3 linked regions of the Anolis sagrei genome follow. The protein of the gene in region 2 interacts with the protein of the main gene of each other region in a pairwise test. Links are inferred from orthologs where the notes say so. Each region holds a gene or a part of one and is shown on either strand. Other genes may lie near its edges.

Region 1 (7,486 bases), on a different chromosome or scaffold from region 2:
AAAGGCTTGATCCCAGACCCAGGTCTTCAGTTTTTTCCTAAATGCCAAGAGGGAAGATGACGATCTAATCTCCCCGGGGAGTGAGTTCCACAGGTGGGGGCCACCACTGAGAAGGCCCTGATCCTCGTCCCCGCCAGCCTCACTTGTGACAGTGGCGGAGTCGAGAGCAGGGCCTCCCCAGAAGATCTTAAGCTTCGAGATGGGACGTAGAGGGAGATCCGTTCGGACAGATACACTGGGCCGGAACCGTATAGGGTTTTGTAGGTCAAAACCAGCACTTTGAATTGCGCTCGGAATTGGATCGGCAGCCAGTGGAGCTGGCGCAACAGGGGGGTGGTATGCTCCCTGTACGTCGCTCCGGTGAGCAATCTGGCTGCTTCTCGCTGGACTAGTTGTAGTTTCCAAGCAGTCTTCAAAGGCAACCCCACGTAGAGTGCGTTGCAGTAATCCAACCAGGATGTTGAAGTCCAAAACACGTGGAGGGCCCAAGTTTGTCCATGCCTGGCCTACACTGACCACATAATGCAGTTTCAGTGTAGATGGGGCAAATGGGACCTGAACAGCCTGAGAGATAATAATAATAATAATAATAATAATAATAATAATAAACTTTATTCATACCCAGGGGCGGCTCGTCCATTACACGAAGTAAGTGGTTGCAGAACACTTTTTTTGCCAGGGGCGCAGAGCCGCCTCTGTAAATGCCCCTCGACCACCACTCAGCTCACAACAGCCCACTCAGCTCACAATGCCCCTCGAGCACCCCTCAGCTCACAACAGCCCTAGCAGTCCGGGGGGAGCCTCGGCTTTCTTGCCTCGCTGCTGGGCGATCCTCTTCCCTAAGGGGCTGGACCCTTGAGCCTCGCCAAGCCCCTCTCGTTCCTGCTCCACCCGGCCACCGGGTGCGCAAGCAGAGCCAGCGCTCAATTGTTCTCCACGTTCGATCCCTTCCCCATGACCGGCTCCCTTTCCCGATCCCCCAGCGCTCCACCTGCCTCCTCTCCCCTCCCCAATCCACGGGTGGGCCAAGGGGACGAGCCGCCGCGCCTGGCCCACTTCAGGTCCGGAGGCGTGTCTGAAGACCCCAGCGTGCGCACCAAAAGTAGCCTCTTCTCCTGACTTTCTCTTCAGCCATTGGGACCAAGAGAGAGAGAGAGAGAGACCCTCCGGCTGGAGGTATCTCCCACATCCGCTCCCTCCTTTGTTTTTGCACCTACCTTCAGGAAAGGCGGGCATCTCCACCTCTCTCTTTCTCTCTCTCTCTCTCTCTCGGTCCCAATGGCTGAGGAGAAAGTCAGGAGAAGAGGTGACTTTTGGTGCACACGCCGGGGTCTTCAGGCACGCCTCCGGACCCAAAGTGGGCCAGGCAAGGGAGCAAGTGCGGCAAGTGTAGTTCCTGGGATGTATAGTTCACCTACAATCAAAGAGCATTCTGAACTCCACCAATGATGGAACTGAACCAAATATGGCACACAGAACTCCCACGACAAACAGAAAATATATATCAATGATTGGTTGGGGGGGGGGTGCCAAAATACTGTTTGCTTACCGTTGAAAATTACCTAGGGCCGCCTCTGTTCATACCCTACCCCCATCTCGCCAAGGAGACTCGGGGCGGCTTACATGAGCCCAAGCCCAGCAAAACAATACATCAGTATAAACAGAATATAGCAATAAATAAAATGTAAGTAAATAAAAATACAACACAAAAAAACCCATTATAAATAACACATCAACAATACAAAATCACAAATCAACCACTATGGGCAGAGATGTTGCAACAGAAGTAAGATGGACAGGGCTGAGGAAGTGGTACCTTTGCTGGATATCACACAGGAAAATTCCAGAGAATTCTGCAATCACAGCTTTTAGGCTTATTTTGAGGTAGTGTATTAAACACACAACTATTTGCAACCCTCCACGATTGGCAACATAGTGATTCTCAAACTCCTGCGTGTATTAAACCTCAACTTCCAGAAGCCACCTTGGCCAAGGGTCAGAGATTCTGGGAGGGCAAGGATTTGGGAATCAATGGGCTAGACTCCAGTGGTTCTCAACCTTCCTAATGCCGCGACCCCTTAGTACAGTTCCTCACGTTGTGGTGACTCCCAACCATAACATTTTCATTGCTACTTCATAACTATAATTTTGCTACCGTTATGAACCGTAATGTAAATATCTGATATGCAGGATGTATTTTCAAATCCCAAATACCCAATATGCCCAAATTTGAATACTGGTGGGGTTGTGGGGGGGGGGGGAGATTGATTTTGTCATTTGGGAGCTGTAGTGGCTGGGGTTTATAGTTCACCTACAATCAAAGAGCATTCTGAACACCACTAATGATGAAATTGAACCCAATTTGGTACACAGAACTCCCATGACCAAGAGAAAACACTGGGAGGATCTGGTGGACATTGACTTTGAATTTTTGGAGTTGTAGTTCACCTACATCCAGAGAGCACTGTGGACTCAAACAGTGATGGATCTGGACCAAACAGGGCACGAATATTCAATATGCTGAAATGTGAACACTGGAGGAGTTTGAGAAAAACAGACCTTGACATTTGGGAATTGTAGTTACTGGGATTTATAGTTCACCTACAATGAAATAACATTCTGAACCCCAACAACGATAGAATGATTGGGGTGATTTGAATGCAATATTCCTGCTTCTTGGCAGAATGGGGTTGGACTGGATGGCCCATGAGGTCTCTTCCAACTCTTTGATTCTATGATTCTATGAGAATCCTATGTTTTCTGATGGTCTTTGGCGACCCCTCTGACACCCCCTCGCGACCCCCACAGGTGTCCCGACCCCCAGGTTGAGAAACACTGGGCTTGAGAAATATCTGTTGAGTTGGGCAACTCTTCCCCAGCCAGTAGCCAGCAATGACCCTCTTGCCTCAATTCACCCTCCTGATTTGCAAACCCTGGAAAGGCTGCAGGTGTCCTCCTACCCAAAGTCCCAAACCATATTATGTTCCTCTTACCTGGCTGGCCTTATGGAACTGCTTCTTGAGCCCTGCCACCGACATGCCAGCTTTGCCCCCAGGGCGCAATCTGAGTTTTCCAGCCAACAGAAACAAAGGGTTAAATGGCCAATGCCCAGGTCCAGAGGAGGATTGGATGCTGTGCCAAGGCCAGGCTCCAAGAGAGAGAAGGCAGCTCAGCTGGAAGGACCACTGCCTTCCGAACACGCTCCACGCCTGCCCTCCCATTGGCTACGGCGCGTTCGATTCAGATCAGCTCGCCCAGCGATTGGTCCCTTGGAGGGAGTTATGCAAAAATCAGAACCCTCAAGACGCCAACGTTCTGTTTTGGTTTGCAGACAAAGCCAGAGAGAGGAGGAGGAAGGAGCACGTCGGAAAGCAAAGGAGATGCGGGCACAACAAAGACGAGGGGTTGTTTGTTTTTACCCGCAAATGCTAAGGCAATGCCAATCTTCTATATAAATAAAAATGTAATATTCGTTTGTGGGATTAACAGAACTCAAAAACTACTGGACGAATTGGCACCAAATTTGGACACAAGACACCTAACAACCCAATGTATGTCCTTCACTCAAAAAATTGATTTTGTCATTTGGGAGTTGTAGTTGCTGGGACTTATAGTTCACCTACAGTCAAAGAGCATTCTGAACTCCAACAATGATGCAATTGAATCAATCTTGGGACACAGAACTCCCATGACCAACAGAAAATACTAAAAGGGTTTGGTGGGCATTGACCTTGTGTTTGGGAATTGTAGTTCACCTACATCCAGAGAGCACTGTGAACTCAAACAATGATGGATCTGGACCAAACTTTGCACAAATATTCCATTTGCCCATATATGAACACAGATAGATTTTGGGGGAAATAGACCTTGACATCTGGGAGTTGTAGTTACTGGGATTTACAATTCACCTACAATCAAAGAGCGTTCTGAACCCAACCAACAACAGAATTGGGGTAAACTTCCCGCACGGAACCCCCATGACCAACAGAAAATACTTAAGGTCATCCAGTCCAACTCCCTTCACCAGGACAAGAAAATGTAATCAAAGCCCTCCTGATAAAGAGCCATCCAGCTCTTTGATATGATTCACACACAGAGAGATATAGTATCATAGATCTGAAAGGGACCCCTAAAGAAGGACAATTATATGATGCATATTCCAGAGTAGGAAAACCAGACAATCTTTACATCAACACTGCCAAAAATCAATGAGAAATTCTGTTTACCCACAAGCGTAAAGAAATTACATCTATTAGAAACCAACACTTTATCATTACTTTATTTTCCAGATCGCAAGACTGGGCCACAGCAACGTGTGGCAGGGTCAGCTAGTTCTTAATATTCCGAAATATCATACAGCCGGGTTGCTGTGAGTTTTCCGGTCTTTATGGTTATGTTCCAGAAGCATTCTCTCCTGACGTTTCGCCCACATCTATGGCAGGGCATCCTCAGAGGTTGTGCAGTCTGTTGGAAACTAGGCAAGTGAGGTTTATATATCTGTGGAATGTCAAGGGTGGGAGAAAGAACTCTTTGTTTGTTGGAAGCAAGTGTGGATGTTGCAATTGGCCACCTTGATTATCATTGAATGGCTTTGCAACTTCAAAGCCTGGCTGCTTCCTGCCTGTGGGAATCCTTTGTTGGGATTCATCAATACAGAATTCAGGCCATGAAATCCTTTGACAATATCAGAGCCTTTACTTTGGCCCATTTTAACATGTTGTCTAACTTTAATAATGTGAATGATATCATTTTAATGTCCACCTTTTGAAGGTTTTAAGCTGTATTGTTCCTGAATTAAACCGTAAAACATCCTAAGACACATTTGGAAAAAAATATTTAGAAAGAATTAGAAGAAAATGAGATGCCACTACAAGTTGGTTATTCCTTATTGGGAATTCTGAAATATGCCAAAATCTAAAATTATGCACATGACAGTGGGTTGTTGTGAGTTTTCCGGGCTGTATGGCCATGTTCCTGAAGCATTCTCTCCTGACGTTTCGCCCACATATTTGGCAGGCATCCTCAGAGGCTGTGAGATGGGCCAAAACTAACAAAATGAAGTTCAACGGGGACAAATGCAAGATACTCCACTTTGGCAGAAAAAATGAAATGCAAAGAGACCGAATGGGGGACAATGATGCCTGGCTTGAGAGCAGTACATGTGAAAAAGATCTTGGAGTCCTCGTGGACAACAAGTTAAACATGAGCCAGGAATGTGATACGGCAGCAAAAAAGCCAATGGGATTTTGGCCTGCATCAATAGGAGCATAGTGTCTAGATCTAGGGAAGTCATGCTCCCCATGCTCTCTTCCGCCTTGGTTAGACCACACCTGGAATATTGTGTCCAATTCTGGGCACCACAATTCAAGAGAGATATTGACAAGCTGGAATGTGTCCAGAGGAGGGCGACTAAAATGATCAAGGGTCTGGAGAACGTGCCCTATGAGGAGCAGCTTAAAGAGCTGGGCATGTTTAGCCTGAAGAAGAGAAGGCTGAGAGGAGATATGATAGCCATGTATAAATATGTGAGAGGAAGTCATAGGGAGGAGGGAGCAAGCTTGTTTTCTGCTGCCCTGGAGACTAGGATGCAGAACAATGGCTTCAAACTACAAGAAAGGAGAACTCATCTGAACATTAGGAAGAACTGCCTCACTGTGAGAGCTGTTCAGCAGTGGAACTCTCTGCCCCGGAGTGTGGTGGAAGCTCCTTCTTTGGAAGCTTTTAAATAGAGGCTGGATGGCCATCTGTCAAGGGTGATTTGAATGCAATATTCCTGCTTCTTGGCAGGGGGTTGGACTGGATGGCCCATGAGGTCTCTTCCAACTCTGATTCTATGATTCTTGATTCTAGAGGTCTGTTGGAAACTAGGCAAGTGAGGTTTATATATCTGTGGAATTGGCCACCTTGATTAGTATTGAATGGCCTTGCAGCTTCAAAGCCTGGCTGCATCCTGCCTGGGAGAATCCTTTGTTGGGATTTAGCAACCCAGTGATTCAGGCCATTAAAATCTTCAACAATACCAGAGCCTTTACTTTGGCCCATTTTAACATGCTGTCTATTGGAAGGGAGATGCTTACAAATCCCCTATGTATAATGCAGTGGTTCCCAACCATTGGTCCTCCAGGTGTTTTGGACTTCAATTCCCAGAAATCCCAGACAGCTATAAGTAATTATGGGAGCTGAAATATATAAACACGTGGAAGACCAAAGGTTGGGAGCCACTGATATAGTATATACACCCCTGCCAACCAGACATGATTGAAACATTGATCTATATCAAGTATGGACAAACTTTGGCCTGCCGGGTGTTTTGGACTTCAACTCCTACCATTCCTAACAGCCAGTAGGGTGTTAGGAGTGGTGGGAGTTGAAGTCCAAAACACCTGGAGGGCCAAATTTTGCTCATGTCTGATCTATATCATGTTATATTGGCCATATGAAATCCAGATTATCTGCATTGAACCGGATTATATGGCAGTGTAGACTCATATAATCCAGTTCAAATAATGTGGATTTTCTGCTTTGATAACCTGGATTATATGGCAGTGTAGAAGGGGTCTCAGATTCTTCCAAACAGTCCATTATGAAAGCTGCCAAAAATAAGCTGGTCAAAGCCAATTGAGGTATGTCTCACTTCCAGTGAATGCTACGGATTTGATACTGGCTGCTGCATTGCCATCCATGCCTATACACAGGAACAGTTCTTCAGGCCCTTCCACGCAGCCCTATATCCCAGAATATCAGGGCAGAAAATCCCACATTATCTGAATGTGGACTCAGGTCCCTTTCAGGTAGGCCTTATAGTCCATTGATTTTGTCATTTGGAAGTTGTAGTTGCTGGGATTTATAGTTCACCTACAATCACAGAGCATTCTGAACTCTACCAACGATGGAATTGAACCAAACTTGGCACACAGATCTTCTATGACCAAGAGAAAATACTGGAAGGGTTTGATGGGCGCTGACCTTGAGTTTTGGAGTTGTAGTTCACCTGTATCCAGAGAGCACTGTGGACTCAAACAATGATGGATCTGGACCAAACTTGGCACAAATAGTATGCCAAATGTGAACACTGGTGGAGTTTGGGGAAAATAGATCATTACATTTGGGAGTTGTAGTTGCTGGGATTTATAGTTCACCTACAATCAAAGAGCATTCTGAACTCTACCAATGATGGAATTGAACCAAACTTGGCACACAGAACTCCCATGACCAACAGAAAACACTGGAAGGTTTTGGTGGGCATAGACCTTGAGTTTTGGAGTTATAGTTCACTTACATCCGGAGAGCACTGGGGACTCAAACAGTGATGGATCTGGACCAAACTTGGAACAAATACTCAGTATGCCCAAATGTGAACACTGGTGGTATTTGAGAAAAATAGATTGTGACATTTGGGAGTTGTAGTTGCTGGGATTTATAGTTCACCTACAATCAAAGAGCCCTTTGAACCCAATGATAGAATTGTGCTAAACTTACCACACAA
Region 2 (8,215 bases):
TTAACGCACACACAACTATTTATCTCAAGGGTATTTAAACTGTGTAAAACCTCCAGCCCCCTCAACAAACAAGCCACAGTACAGAATGTATAGTACAGAATGTATATCCCAGTCTGACCAGCGGAGATTCAAACCCTGCATCTTCCAGAGAAGAGATAACCTTCACTCTTCTTCTCCAAGAGAGCACTGTTGGAGGGGGCCTTTGATTTAGACAAGGAGACCAAGTAGGAGTACACTGCCCAGTGCCATGGAAAGGGGGTTGGTTAAGGGACTGAGACAGAGAATGCTATTCTGCATTCAAGACTGCAGGAAGGAAAGACAGGCTTGGACTGGTGCAACCACATTTGCCAAGGTGCCTTCGGCATGGCCTCCATTTGCTCCTTACCTAACCCTGAAGGTCGGAAATCCCCCTCAGTCTCCAGACTGATCCTGCAGATTGCCCTCACCCGCAAGCCTCAGCATTACTCACCAGGGCTGCTGAGACCTATAATACCCCAGCATTGGGAGGGTCATACAATTCTGCTCTGTCCCAATGGTCACCCACAGGACGTCCAGGCAAAGAACCAGCTCAAAAGTTTCCCTCCTCTCTGGCTTACCCCAGACCTGGAATCCCTCTGCAGCAGCCCAGGCCTTGGACAGGAGTGCCCTTACCCATGCCCTATTTCCCCATTCATACAACTTCTTACAGGCAGAGATACCGCACAGAAAGTCCTTGTCTGTTTCCCCCCAGCACCATGACAATATGCCGCTTCCCCATCCCAAATGCCTGCTATGAAGCAGCCCCAAGTGGATTCTGCCCCCCTTGCTTCTCCCTCCTCCCTAAGGCCCTCTTGCAGGAGAGGGATCCTCCTCCCTTCTGCCAAGGCACCACAAGTCTCCCTGCCTGCCTCTGCTGGGTGCCATGCTCTGCCCACTCCCTCCATCCCCCTCCAAGAGGCTGCTTTGCTCCTCCAGGTGAAGACCACTTGCTGCATCCTGGAATCTCCGTATTCTATTGAGGCATGCACAAAGCCTTAAGGAAGCCATGTGCCTCCCCCTCAAAGTATGTCACCCCCATCCTTTTCCTCCCAACACCGTAAAGATCCCAGGTCAAGGTTAACGCTGGATTGGTCAAACATTTTTCGAGGATGACAGCCCATCCTCCTCTAACAAAATATTCTCCCTCCTTTTGGGAAGGGACGCCTCAGCTCACCTTTTCCCCACTCCCCAGGCAGCAACCCCAAAGCCCCCCTCCCCACCTGAGCCCTACCTCTACTTCCTACCTCCCTTGTCAAACCAGAGGGGTTTCTGATGCAATGTTGAGAAGGGAGGAAAGGGGGAAGCCAGGAGGCGGGCGTTCCCCATTCTTTGTACAGTGGTCCGATTCGGGTGGTGGAGGGATGGGGGGCAGACATCAATAAAAGGAAAAGACCTTTATTTTTAATCCTGCACTTCCTCTGGGTCCTCCTTTTGCCCAGCATTCTCTCTTGTTTTTTTCTGATTTTGTGATTGCCTTGGGATCCTGGGCAGAAAGCCCCTTACAAGAAAAGGCTCCTTTCATACAATCCCCAGATCCCTCCTTTTTGCTCCCCCCTCTCGCCAAACAGAATTTTCAGCCACAATGAGAGTTGGTTAATACGTTTCCTATTATTATTATTATTGCTGTTATTATAGCTGCCACTAGAGCACAAGTGACCCTTCTCCTGCCGAGGGAGAAAGAGAGACACAGGTGGAGGGGGCAGTTCAAATATTAACAATAACAATAACAACAATGTCATCATCATAGTAATAAAAAATAGAGAACATAAAATACACTATCATATCTTATCATAAAAAGAATATAAAATAGACTATATAATAGAAATACAAAATAAAAAAATGTAAAATATAATAACAGTATCATATAATAAAATAATATCACATAATATAACAAAACAAAAATATAAAATAGAACAAAAAGAATATAAAAGATAATAATTTAATAAAAATACAAAATAAAAAGGTATTAATATAATACAGACATAAAATAGAAACAAATACAAACTAGAATACAATAACAATATCATATAATATAAAATAATATGACATAGTAATATAACATAAAAATATTAAAAAGAATAAAATATAAAATATAACAATATCATATAAGAAAATATATCATAATTATAGATAATAGTGATATATATATATATATATATAACGCAATATGGATAATATAATATAAATTAAAAAAAATAAAACACAAAATGAAATAAAAATATAAATAAATTATTAAATATTAAATCAGAACAGAATACCATATAACATCAAATAAAAATACAAAGAAGAGACAATAAGACATTAAAGACATTAATGAGAATATAAAGCAAGACTAAAATAACACGATCGAAAATAAAACGGTGGAGGGATCGAAAAAGAACCCAAGCCGTGCTCGTGGGACCTCTTGGGAGTCGGTCCCTTTTGCTGAGAAGGAAGCAGGCGCCCATTTGCTCAGGGCCCTTCTACACAGCCCTACAACCTAGAATATCAAGGCAGAGAATGCCACAATTTCTTGTTTGAACTGGGTTATCTAAGTCCACACGGCCATATATTCCAGTTCAAAGCAGACACGGTGGGATTTGATTCAGCTGTGGGGAAGGGGCCTCCGTGGCGGAAAGAGGAGCGCGAGCGAGAGAGGTCGGCCGGTCACAAGACTGCGGCGGCGGCGCCTCAATAATACACTCAACGCAGGCTACCGAAGAGTTGCCTTCTCCTCCTCCTCCTCCCCCTCCGGATTCCTCTCATGGCGCAGGAAAGGGGCGGAGGGGCTGAGGCGACCCCACCCCAAGGAAGGGCCCGGCTCGGGGCCCAGGCCGCTTGGCTCCAAAGTCTGGGGGAGGGACAACGCGAGGGCGGGGAGGGGAGGTAAGAGGGGAAGGCCTCACCTGCCGAGGGCGGCGCGGCCTGCTCCTCCGCCGAGGCCTGCTCCGCCGGGGGCTTTCCTTCCCCCGCTGCCGCCCGCCGAGCCTTGTGGCGGGGGAGGAGGTGGGGGGGGAGGCGGAGGCGGGCTGGGTGCCGCTTGTTGCTGTTGTTGCTGCTGCTGCTGAGGAGGCGGCGGCGAAGGCGCGGGGGACGCTGCTCCAGTTGCCGAAGCTGGCGTGGTGATACTCTGCTTGAGGGCCATGGCCGGTCTCCCTTGCTCTGCCCGCCTCCTCCTCTTTCTTCTTCTCCTCAGAGGAGGGGGAGGAGCCTCTGGCCTGCTTTTGGGCGGGAAAGAAGAAGAAAGCGAAGAAAGACGCTCCGCCCCCTCCAGCATGGCCCCTCCCTCCTCCGCCGCTTTCGTCGCCTCAGCCGGGCAGGGGCCCCGCTTCCGGGTCACGTGAACTCCCCTCCCTCCCTCGAGGAGAAAGGCAGCGCATGCGTGGAGCCTGCAACTGGCTTTGCGGGTTGGGGGGGTCTCCCATGCACACAAGCGTCTTCCACATAGCTGGATAAAATTCCCCCATTCTCTGCTTTGTACTGGGTTATTTGGCAGTGTGGACTCAGATAACACAGGGCCCTTCCACACAGCCTTGTATCACAGAATATCAAGGCAGATAATCCCACATTATCTGAGTGTGGACTCAGATAACCCAGTTCAAAGCAGATATTGTGGGATTTACTGCCTTGATATTCTGGGATATAGGGCTGTGTGGAAGGGCCCTTAGATAACCCAGAGCACTTCCACACAGCCATATAACCCAGAATATCAAGTCAGATAATCCACAATATCTGTTTTGGACTGGGTTATTTGAATCCACACTGCCATATAATCCAGTTCAATGTCGATTTTATTCAGCTGTGTGGGAGGGGCCTCGAATAACTCAGGCCCCTTCCATAGCTGGATAAAATGTACCTTGAACTGGATGATCTGGCAGTGTGGACTCAGATAACCCAGTCCAAAACAGATATTGTGGATTATCTGCCTTGATATTCTGGGTTATATGAGTGTGTGGAAGGGCCCTGAGTCCACACTACCATATCATCCAGTTCAAGGTGGATTTTGTCAAGCTGTGGAAGGGGCCTAACTGCACCTCCTGACACCAAAAAGTCTCTGCTGCCCAATGTCATGCACAAAGAAAGTGGCCAAAAGTGTCCTCTTTGTCATGCTGCCATTTGAGTTGCTGCCTGCTTCTTTCAAAACAAACGGGTTACAATACCAAAGCTTCCAGCAATGGGAAAAAAAACCTTGGGGCATCTATGCTGTAGAATAGATCACTTTATGTAGCCCCAAAAGATTAGCATTCGATCTGGGTAAATACGGAATATCTATATCTAATCTAGATTTAACCCACTGAGCCCCCGGTGGCTCAGTGGGTTAAAGCACTGAGCTGCTGAGCTTGTTGATCGAAAGGTCGTAGGTTCAATTCCGGGGAGCGGCGTGAGCTTCCGCTGTCAGCCCTAGCTTCTGCCAACCTAGCAGTTCGAAAACATGCAAATGTGAGTAGATCAATAGGTACCGCTCCGGCGGGAAGGTAACGGCGCTCCATGCAGTCATGCTGGCCACATGACCTTGGAGTGTCTACGGACAACGCTGGCTCTTCGGCTTAGAAATGGAGATGAGCACCACACCCCAGAGTCAGACATGACTGGACTTAATGTCAGGGGACTACCTTTACCTTTAATCTAGATCTACTTACGGACCCACCACCAAGACTCTCCCCCACACATACACATTTAGGATTTATTCATATTGTTATTAATTTTATAAGTTTAATAGATTTAACAAATGTCTAATAAATAATCAAGAAAAGTGGTGGTGGTGGTGAGAGCAGTTAAGGAACCTTTAAAACATTGTATGGTATTACATTCAGATTTTCATCTCTATTACCCTAACATTCATTGTTTAAACTACTAAACTGTTTGGAAAGTCTATAAGCTCTTCCACACAGCCCTCTAACACCAAGGCAGAAAATCCCACATTATCTGAATGTAGACTCAGAAAACCCAGTTCAAAGCAGATATTGTGCGATTTTCTGCCATGATATCCTGGGATATAGGCTGTGTGGAAGAGCCCACAGCCCTATAACACAGAATATCAAGGCAGAAAATCCCACAATATCTGCTTTGAACTGGGTTATCTGACTTCACACTGCCATATATTCTAGTTCAAAGCAGACAAGGTGGGATTTGATTCAGCCTTGGTATCTTCCATATACTAGAGCAGCGTTTCTCATCCTGGGGGGGTCACAAGGGGATGTTAGAGGGGTCACCAAAAACTCTAAGAAAACACAGTATTTTCTGTTGGCCATGGGAGTTCTGTGGGGGAAGTTTGGCCCAATTCTATCAGTGCTCTTTGATTTTAGGTGACCTATAAATCCAAGCAACTACAACTCCCAAATTTCAAAGTTTGTTTTCCACAAACTCGACCAGTGTTCACATTTGGACATACTGAGTATTTGTGTCAAGTTTAGTCCAGCTCTATCATTGTTTGAATCCACAGTGCTCTCTGGATGTAGGCGACTACAACTCCAAACTCAAGGTCAATACCCACCAAACCCTTCCAGTATTTTCTGTTGGTCATGGGAGTTCTGTGTGCCAAGTTTGGTCCAATGCCATCTTTGGTGGAGTTCAGAATGCTTTGATGGTAGGTTAACTATAAATCCCAGCAACTACAACTCCCAAATGACAACCCCCCCCCCCTCCTGACCCCACCAGTATTCAAATTTGGGTATATTGGGCATTTGTGCCATATTAGGTCCATTTAATGAAAATACATCCTGCATATCAGATATTTACATTACAATCCATTACAGAAGCAAAATTAGTTATGAATTAGCAACAAAAATAATTTTATGTTTGGGGGTCGCGGCATTAGGAAGTTTGAGACACACTGTAATAGAGAGTTCTTACTGTCCTTGAAACCTAATAACCATGTCTTTTTATGCTGGATCTTTGATTCCAGTTAGTTATCCTTTCCTTTTCTGCTTGAAGATTTTTCTTGGATGTTTCTGTTAGTTTTGTTTCCAAACTGTTCTTTGAAAGCTATAACTTAAGTCTATCTGTTAGTAGATTAGTATTGTATATTCTTATCTCTCTATCTTTCTATCTGTCTGTCTGTCTGTCTGTCTGTCTGTCTATCTATCTATCTATCTATCTATCTATCTATCTATCTATCTATACACATAATAAAAGTTAAAATATGTATGTGTGTGTGGCTGGGGTGTCTACTGACACAGACAGGCTCCTGCTTCCACAATAATAATAGTAATAATGATTATACTTTATTTATATTCCACTCTATCTCCCCATAGGGACTCAGGGCTTATATAGCTCCCACTGCTCAGGAAATACCAAAGCCCCCCCCCCCCCCCCAGTGACATTGCAGGTTATAGTGAGCGCCATGAACATGCACAAGAGCCCTGCTAATGTCCTCCACAAACACCATACTGCCCACCACCCAAGTGAAGGCTTTCAATCCTTGATTTCATGCGTTTCCTCCACCGCAGACATCCCAGATTTCTGACTCTCTCCATCGGTGTGGAATTTGCATGATCCCGCCCACTGCCTCTTCCTTAACCCTTTCCTATTCTTTTCTATGGCATACAGCAAACAGAGGAATTGATCAGCAACTGAACATACTAGAGAGGTTTGGGGAGAACTCACTATGATTCATAGGAATTGTAGGTCCTGGGATGTATAGTTCACCTGCACTCTAAGAGCAGTCTGAACTCCACCAGTGATGGACCTGGAACTAACTTGGCACACAGAACCCCCATGATCACAAAAACATACTGGAGGTCTTTGGAGGGATTTATAGGAGTTGTAGTTCACCTACATCCAGAGAGCACTATGAACCCAAACAATGATGGATCTAGACCAAACTTGGCATGCATACCCAATATGCCCAAATTGGAATACTGGTGGGTTGTGAGGGGAATTGGCCTGGACATTTTGGAGTTGGAGGTACTGGAATTCATAGTTCACCTGCAATCAAGGATATAGAATTGGACCAAACTCCACAGAGGCTCCATGACCAGATACTGGAGGTCTGTGGGGGAAATTCACCTTGATTTGGGGGAGTTGTCATTCACCTACATCCAGAAAGCACTGTGAACCCAAAAACTGATGGATCTGGACCAAACTTGGCACACATATCTGATATACCAAAATTTGATTACTGCAAGGTTTTGGAGGAAACTGACCTTCCCTTCTGGGAGTTGTAGTTAACCCACAACCAGAGAAACTCTGACCTTCACCGATGATGGATCTGGACCAAACTTGACACACCCCTTGACTAACTCGGCCTACTGGAGAGGTTTGAGGGGACTGACTCAACATAGTGGGAGCTGTAGTTTACCCTGCAGCCAGAGAGCACACTGAACCTTACTGATGATGCATCCAGAGCAAATTTGCCCAACACAACCAAACCAACTTGAAGTACTGATGGAGGTTCTTAGGGTTAACCTGGCATGATGTGAGTTGTAGTTCAGCCACAACCTTATGCATTTTGTACAATTAAAATGCCCTCAATGTTTTGTTTTGTAAGATAATTGTTAGTGTTATTTTTCTGTTTATATGTTTTGAATTTAGAAGTTAAGGGAAGTTAATGCCTCTAGACCAGGGGTCAGGAACCTTCGGCCCTCCAGGTGTGGTGGACTTCAACTCCCACAATTCCTTGAGGCTCGGCATTCGCCCCAAAGGCTTACCTTGGCCTCAAGGAATTGTGGGAGTTGAAGTCCACCACACCTGGAGGGCCGAAGGTTCCCCATGCCTGCTCTAGACCATGGCCATACAGCCCGAAAAAACTTACAACAACCCAGTTAAGGGGAGCATTCAATAGTGAATAATATGTAGTTTCAAATGAACCTAGAGATGTTTAATCTTCCAAACAGACTTTTTCTCCATTTTATGTGGTCTTCAAATATGAAAGGTAGAGTGATTTTTGTAAAAACTTGTTTAGATTTGTGTTCTGTGTGAAGAAATGAGAAGTATGTGATTTTCAATGCAAATTTCATAAAATAGTTCATTTGCCATTAATGTTAATGGTTCAAAGAATGTCAGGCTGAATTGATCGGCTCCTATGTTAATCTTGCCAAGTCTGACCCTTCTTGCAAAAAATTTGGACACCACTGAGTCAGCCAATATATCTGTCCTCCTACAGACAGACAATTCAGCCAGGCTGGTTGGTAGATTGTGGGCATTACAGTTCAAAAAGCTACTGATGTCAAGTTCCGTTCTTGTCACTCTGGTTCCAAATCCACCATGAGGCCCTTTC
Region 3 (8,305 bases), on a different chromosome or scaffold from region 2:
GGCGTGGGCAAACTTGGGCCTTCCTCCAGGTGTTTTGGACTCCAACTCCCACCATTCCTAACAGCCTCAAGCCTGATTAAGCGGCTGGCGGGGAGAAGGGGAGAGGAAAGGGCCTGAGGTTGTTAGGAATTGTGGGAGCTGGAGTCCAAAACACCAGGAGGAAGGCCCAAGTTTGCCCATGCCTGGGCTATTTGGACTCAAGAGCCAGAAGGAATGGACTATTTAGGAGAGGAAAGCCCAGCTCCCGAGTATCTCTATCTATATCTATGTAGGTATCACTAGAAGGAAGGTCATTGGAGGAGGACTTTTACATAATCATCCAGGACAATTGGGAAGGGGGGAGGGAGAGAGTTGGCGGAGGTCTGGAAATATTTCCATCTGATTTGGGAGAGGAGGAAGCCCTCCCCCCAATCTCCCCGTAAAGAGCCGCAATGGCGAGGGAGCTCCAATGCAAGGAAAGATCAGCAGGAGAGAGGGAGAAAGGGAGTCCCAGGCTGAACCAAGCCACAAGGAAGGGTAGAGACATGCTGAAAAGGGGAGTAACCAGGTCGGGCTCCTTGCTGTGTGTGGAAGGGGTGGCAATGCGGTGCCCCCTCCCTGGGTTTCTGCGGCAAAAGTCTCCGACCCGGGACGCGGTCCAGATCCTGCGGAAGGCAGCCTGGCGCAGGAAAGGAGAGGCCTCCCTCCCTGCCAAAGGGATGCCAGCCTTGCCCTGACACAGTGCCTTCCCTGCTTCAGCTCTGCCTGCTCGGATCTGAGACCGACTCCAGAGCAAGGCAAGGGCAAGAGGCACCTCTCGAGTCTCCCTGGCCGAAGACAACCCCTCCAAGAAACCCCTTATGCTCTAGAACCCATGCAGTCGGGCACCAAACTACAATTATGGCGATTTGAGGAGGCAGAAGCCCTTCTTTGGTAAAGGAGGCTAAAATAAAGAGCCTGTACAACTCCCAGGCTTCTATAGCATTGAGCCATTGGGATCACACTGCATTCATTCTACCAGGCAAGATGCACCCTTCTTCAATGTGTTGTCAAGGGCTTGCATGGCCGGAATCACTGGGTTGCTGTAAGCTTTTCGGGCTCTATGGCTATGTTCTAGAAGCATTCTCTCCTGACGTTTCGCCTGCATCTATGGCAGGCATCCTCAGAGGTTGTGAGGTCCCCTCTGAGGCTGCCTGCCATAGATGCAGGTGAAATGTCAGGAGAGAATGCTTCTGGAACATGGCCATACAGCTCGAAAAACTTACAGCAACCCACTCTTGGTCTCTTTGCCCCAGATGTTGCAATCTGGAGCTTCCCAATACTGCTTTTGGGACTGTCAATCTATCCAGCTATAATAGAGAAAAGGGACTGAGTGTAAATCTCTGTATCGCCCCTCCAGATATGCTAAGGAAAGCTGTCTTTAGGGACTGTCAATCACAGAATCCCCCCCCCCCCAAAGCCGGCTCTGCTAAGCAAAGGTGCCTTTCTGGGGACTGTCACTCCCAAAATCCCCCATCCAGCATTTCCAAAAGACCCTTCCCCAAGCCCAGAAGTGCTGTCAACTGGAGACCAGAAGGAGATGCCAAAACAACCTCCCAAGACACCTTGCCTAATTAGATGCACCCTTGATCTCTTTGCTCCAGACGCTGCAATCTGCAGATCCCTCCAAAATGCTTTTTGGGACTGTCAATCTACTATCAAGTTCAAATGGGGGGAAAGGGATTGTCAATCCCTCAATCTCTTAAAATCATGACAGTAAATAAAGAACACTCTGAAGACAGCTAACACCTCCGAACAAAGGGTTCCCCCAGGCAGGAAGCAGTCAGGCTTTGAAGCTGCAAGGCTATTCAATGCTAATTAGGGTGATCAACTGCAACATTCACACTTGCCTCCAGCAGGTAAGAGTTCTTTTTCCCACCTTGGACATTATTCCACAGATGAATCAACCTCCCAAGCTTTGAAGCTGCAAGGCTATTCAATGCTAATCCAGATGCTCAATTGTAACAGGCAACAGTTCTTTCTCCCACCCTGGAATTTCCACATATATATCAACCTCCCAAGCTTTGAAGCTGCAAGGCTATTCAATGCTAATCTAAGGTGTCCAATTGCAAAATTCACCTTGGCCTCCAACAGACAAGAGTCCTTTCTCTCACCTGGGACATTATTCCACAGATATGTCAACCTCCCTTGCCTTGTTTCCAACAGACCTCACAACCTCAGAGGATGCCTGCCATAGATGTGGGCGAAACATCAGGAAAGAATGCTTCTGGGACATAGCCATGCAGCTTGGAAAACTCACAGCAACCCAATCCCTGAATCGTCCATCCCGCTATGTGAAGGAAAGCTGTCTTTAGGGACTGTCAATCACACAATTCTCCCCTAGCCAGCTTTGCTAAGCAAAGGTGCCTTTTGGGGGACTGTCGCTCCCAGAATGCCCCATCCAGTACTTCCAAAAGATCCTTCCCCAAGCCCAGAAGCGCTGTGAATTGGAGCCCAGAAGAAGGAGATGCCAAAACCACCTCGAATCGTCCCTCCAGCTATGCTAAAGAAAGCTGTCTTGAACGCCTGTCAATCACAGAATCCCCACCCCCACCCCCCAAGCCGGCTCTGCTGAGCAAAGGTGCCTTCTGGGGGGACTGTCACTCCCAGAATCCCCCATCCAGGCCCTTCCCCAAGCCCAGAAGCGCTGCCAATGGGAGCCCAGAAGAAGGAGATGCCCAAACCACCTCCGAAGACGCCTTGAAACGCCATGCAATCCATGAATCTATGGCTAATGCCAAGGCACGCACTCCCAACCTAGCAACACACACGCGCACACCAGCTCGGGCTCTCTTCCCCGGCTACGAAGGAGAGCGCCCCCTCCTGGCCCCTCGGAGCCTAGAGTGCGTGTGTTGAGAGGAGGAGGAGGAGGAGGAGGAGATTGTCCAGACCAGAGGGAGGAAGGCGCTTCGCCCTCCTTTGACCCGAGGAGGATGCCCCCAAGGCTGCTTCTCCTCCCTCCCTCCCGCTCTCCCTCCCGCTTCCCTTCCTCCTTGGCTTCCTTACCTGAGTGGCTTTGTGGAACTGCTTCTTGAGCCCCGCCACAGACATCTCTGCTGTAGGTGGAAGGAGAGCGAGAGAGAGAGAGAGAGAGATGGAGGGATGCCGGAGGAGCGGGAAAGGTCCCTTCTGGTGCCAGCCTCCCTCTTGCCCTCCTCCTGCTTGAGCGGGGATGCTCTGATGCAGAGAGAGAGCGCGCGCCTGACGTCAGAGACAGGCAGCCCTGCCTCTTAAAGGGACAGCCACCCCCCTCTCTCTTTTGGGTCAAGCAAAGAGCTTCAAAGCAGCCTCTCTGGCAATGAGAGGACATGGTAAGCAGCTTTATTGACTGTGGAAGAATGGAAAGAGTTATACTCCCTCCTGTTCCTTTTCCCAGTATCTTCCACCGGAGTGACCAGGACTGCTCTGGTCCTAAAACTTGGTAGGAATGTTTGGAAATAAATCCATATTGTCCAGATATACCTGATGTAAGGTAAAGCTAAAGAGAAAGGTTTTCTCCTGACATTAAATCCAGTCACATCCGACTCTGGGGGTTGGTGCTCATCTCCATTAAGCCCAAGAGCCGGTGTTGTCCGTAGACACCTCCAAGGTCATGTGGCCAGCATGACTGCATGGAGTGCTGTTATCTTCCCGCCAGAGCAGTACCTATTGATCTACTCAAATTTACATGTTTTGAACTGCTAAGTTGGCAGAAGCTGGGGCTAACAATGGGAGCTCACGCTGCTCCCCAAATCTGAACCTGTGACCTTTCCGTCAGCAAGTTCAGCAGCTCAGCACTTTAATCCACTGCATCACTGGGGGTCATAATAATAATAATAATAATCCAGACTGACAAAGTTTTGGAACACAATACACCAGACATCACGATTATGGAAAGGAAAAATGTTTGGATTTTCAATGTTGCTATACCAGGTGACAGTTGCATGGAGGAAAAACAACAGGACCTCAAAATCAAACTGAAATGGCTCTGGCATAGACCAGTACAGGTGGTCCCAGTGGTCATCGGCACACTGGGTGCCGTGCCAAAAGATCTCGGCCAGCATTTGGAAACAATAAACATTGACAAAATCACAATCTGTCAACTGCAAAAGGCCACCTTACTTGGATCTGCACGCATCATTCAAAAATACATCACACAGTCCTAGACGCTTGGGAAGTGTTCAACTTGTGATTTTGTGATACGAAATCCAGCACAGAGATCTCATTTGCTGTGACATACTGTGTTTTTGTGTCAGTATAATAATAACTTTATTTTTGTATCCCGCCTCCATCTCTCCGAAGGGACTCAGGGCGGCTTACATGGGGACAAACCCGATCAACATAGTTAAAATATAGCACAATAAAATGCATAAAACAAAGTCATAAAGCAATATAAAACAAACAACAACTCAACACAATATAAAACAACCATCAAGCAAAAAAAAACCAGTGGTTTGAGTAATAAACACTTCTGTTCTCGGGTGGGCAGACAGGTGCAAATAAGTTGTGAGGACAGAGTTGATGGATAAAGTACAAAGCCATATGACAAAGTTAGGGATGGAGAGCAATATGAAATAGAGCACTATTTCATATTCAACATCTTTATCAATGACTTGGATGATGGAGTAGAAGTCATCCTTAGCAAATTTGCAGATAATGCCAAATTAGGAAGGGGTGGCTAATACCCCAGAGGACAAGAATCCAAAATGTCCTTTACACTGAATGACCTGCTAGAGATGAATTATGTGGCTTGATTAGGGAAAATCATTAGGGTGATTTGCAAATGATTGGAAGCCCTTGACACACTTTTTGTGGAAAGACAAAAATGATTTGATAACTATTTTGAAAATTGATATTATTTGGTTATCAGAAGTGTACAATGTCATTAGAAGAGAGGAGGGAAGGGTTATATATATGTATGGCCTCTCAAAATAAAGTTCTTTATATGTTATCTTTTTCTGTCTTTGTCATTTCTTAAGTGTAGCTCTTCCATGTTTTTTTCCTTGCAGGATGTTTCCTTGCATGAAGAAATAATAATAATAATAATAATAATAATAATAATAATAATAATAATAACATATTCAACAAAATGTCATTGGCTGATTAGAAAGCTGAGTCAAAACTAACAAAATGAATTTCAACATGGAGTAATTTAAGGGATTACATGTAGGCAGGAAAAATGAAGTGCCCATATATTGTATGGGTGATACCTGGCTTGATAACAGTACAAGCAAAAAGGATCTAAGGGTCTAAACATGAGTCAACTGTATGATGTGGCAGCCAAAAACGGGCAATGCTATCTCAAACAACAGCATAGCATTCAGATCAAGGGAAGTTGTAGTACCATTCTGTTCTGCTTTGGTCCAAATTCACCTGTGTTCAGTTCTGGGCACCGCAATTCGAAAAGGATATTGACAAGTTGGAAGATGCCCAAATAAAAATGACCAAGACGATTAAAAGTCAGGAAAAAAAGCCTTATGAGAAATGACTTGGGGAGCAGAGTATATTTCGCTTGGAGAAGAGAAGACAGCACTCTTTCCAAAGCAAGGAGGCAAGTTCTCTGTTTCTTACTCTAGAGGAGAGGCGCTTGGCTGCTTTTGGTGGAAATATTACATTAGTTTTGTTTTTATTTGTCTAAGGGCCCTTTTACACAGCCCTATATCCCAGGCCGGATCCAGTCAGGCCTTTATCCCAAACATGGATGTTTCTGGGGGCCTGTCCACACCCACCCCAGAAAGCCATTACAAGCCTCGCCATGCCAGGAGAAATAATGCACCGGGGGGGGGGGGGGGGATAGCTCTCCCACACACAAACACACACACTCTCCTGGCATGTCATTGTATGCACCGGGAGAGCTGGCTGACTCTTGTAATGGAGGGCACAAAAGTTTTTATTTCTTTTCTAAGGGGTCTGGGGATTTGGGGGGAGGAGAGGAGGGCGCCCAAGGGAACATCTGGACAACCACACCAGAAAGCGCATGGGGGGGGGGGTATTCCCACAGTTTACTGGGCTTATATAGCCCAGTAAACTGTGGGAATACTGTCTGGACTGCAGTATTTTGCAGTCCAGACCTGGAAATAATGGATTTATCCCACGCCTTCCAAGAAAGCGTGGAATAAATCCACTACTAAATTAATTTGTTACAAAACAAGGTTTTCCTGGTTTGTAGGGAATTAATTTGGGACTGTCCAGACATTGTCTGGACAGCCCCTCCTTTATTCCAGTAGATACCGCAATAAAGGTGCTGTATGGAAGGCCCCCCAGAATATCAAGACAGAAAATCCCACAATATCTGCTTTGAACTGGGTTATCTGAGTCCATACTCAGATATTGTAGGATTTTCTGCCTTGATATTCTGGGATCTAGGGTGTGTGGAAGGGCCCTTAATTGAGGTTTAATTACTGCTTTTCAATAATAATAATAGACAATACAGAATTTATGCAATGGTATAGTATGGGGTATAGTAAGAGGCCGATTTTTCATTAAACCCTCAAGCAACCAGAAACTGCGTTATTCTGGTATCTAACAATCCCCATGGGTTTAAGCAACTGAGGGCCCTTCCACACAGTCCTCTATTCCAGAATATCAAGGTATAAAATCCCACATTATCTGCTTTGAACTGTTATCTGACTCCACACTTAGATAATGTGGGATTTTCTGCCTTGATATTCTGGGATAGAGGACTGTGTGGAAGGTCCCTCAGAGACTACTTATTTGTTTTTATCCTGTCTTCTTCCCAGAACTAGGACTCAAGGTGGCTTATAGTTTAAAAGAGCATTGTAGTTGAAAACATACCAAAAGTAACCATGAAAACAGAATTAAAGTAGTCATAATATTAAAATTTTTCAAATTTCTAGATAAACGAATAAAAGGCAATTGAAAATATTAAAAAGCTATTAAAATAGTACATTTAAAATGACACCACACCACTTGGTCCAGTCTTTAAAAGCCTGCTGTTTTAATAGCCTGTGGGAATAAAGACAGTTTAGCCTTTCAACTACATGGCAATGGGGAGTCCCAGAATTGAGAGGCAGCCATCAAGAGGACTAGGGTTGTGTCAATAAAGATACCATTTATTATTTTTGATCAAACACAAAGTGTTTTATCCAGCTGAAATGCAATAAATCATTGCTTCTTGTTATTTTTGTTAATATTCTGTCCACCTCCCCCCAAATATTGCTATCCAGGACGATTTCATTTCAGGGTAGCTTCATTTCAAAAAGTAGTTTGCTTTTGTGAGGGTCTTTGGAGTTACTTCATTGAATGCAATAAAGAGAAGCAAACTTTAAGGATGACATTTCACATACGCATGTACTGTACATGCACACTGCAAATAATGTTGTCGAGAGCGAAAACACAGAATTCTGGAGGGAAAATCCATTTATATCTTGTTTCAGTGAAGCCTCTAAAGGTTAACCTTAGAAAAAGCAGTTTACAATTACGTGTATAATTTTCAGGTGCAGCAGCCCTTGACAAATAGACTTTCCAAGAAGGCATCACAAAATATAATTGGAAATGTAGATATGCTCTTGTTACAGGCAATATAGAATCAAAGAATCATTGAGTTGGAAGAGACCTTGTGGGCCATTCAGTCCAACTCCCTGCCAAGAAGCAGGAAAATTGCATTCAAAGCACTCCCGACAGACGGCCATCCAGCCTCTGTTTAATAGCCTCCAAAGAAGGAGCCTCCACCACACTCCAGGGCAGAGAGTTCCAAATTGAACCACTTTCTCTTGTTTTAAGAGTAAAGAGAATTCACCTATACTTTCTCCTAAAGCAATCTTCGTGTAACACTTATTCAAACCTGAAAAATAAAAATGCAGCCCTGGACATGCCTATTCTGAAGTAGGCCTTACGGACTATGGTGGAGTTTGCTCTCAGATGAGCAAACTCATCTGGGAGTATTAGGGTGTACCTATACTGTAGAATTAATGCAGTTTGACAGCTCTTTAATAGCCACGACCCAATGCTATTGGACTACAGGAGTTTATTTTTACACAATCTTTGGCTTCTCTACCAAATAGTGCTGGTACTATGCCAGACTTCAAATCCAAGGATTCCAACTTATTGAGCTGTGGCAGTTAAAGTGCTATCAAACTGCATTAATTCTACAATGCATATGCACCTTTCATCTGATTTAGTAGTCTTTTTTTTATTCTACAATGAGGGCTGTTCCAGACAGGCCCATTATCCTAGGATCTGATCCCAGGTTTTCTGTTTATCCCAGGTTTTCTAGCAGTGTGGACTCATATAATCCAGTTTAAAGTAGAAAACCTGGGATCAGATCCTGGGATAGAAGGCCCTGACT

Evidence for each region.
Region 1: the proteins of ATXN2 (region 2) and SH3GL3 interact in binary tests that used the Homo sapiens proteins (3 or more experiments, as listed by UniProt). The link is inferred for Anolis sagrei from reciprocal best matches to the Homo sapiens genes ATXN2 and SH3GL3.
Region 3: the proteins of ATXN2 (region 2) and SH3GL2 interact in binary tests that used the Homo sapiens proteins (3 or more experiments, as listed by UniProt). The link is inferred for Anolis sagrei from reciprocal best matches to the Homo sapiens genes ATXN2 and SH3GL2.

The regions. Positions count from the first base shown.
Region 1 is NC_090029.1:32,892,243-32,899,728, reverse strand, and holds the start of SH3GL3 (endophilin-A3), read right to left. Parts: upstream 3,220-7,486; 5' UTR 3,039-3,219; coding exon 2,994-3,038; intron 1-2,993. UniProt on the Homo sapiens protein: Implicated in endocytosis. May recruit other proteins to membranes with high curvature.
Region 2 is NC_090034.1:30,793,118-30,801,332, reverse strand, and holds the start of ATXN2 (ataxin-2), read right to left. Parts: upstream 3,219-8,215; 5' UTR 3,143-3,218; coding exon 2,904-3,142; intron 1-2,903. UniProt on the Homo sapiens protein: Involved in EGFR trafficking, acting as negative regulator of endocytic EGFR internalization at the plasma membrane.
Region 3 is NC_090022.1:212,488,706-212,497,010, forward strand, and holds the start of SH3GL2 (endophilin-A1), read right to left. Parts: upstream 3,220-8,305; 5' UTR 3,070-3,219; coding exon 3,025-3,069; intron 1-3,024. UniProt on the Homo sapiens protein: Implicated in synaptic vesicle endocytosis. May recruit other proteins to membranes with high curvature. Required for BDNF-dependent dendrite outgrowth.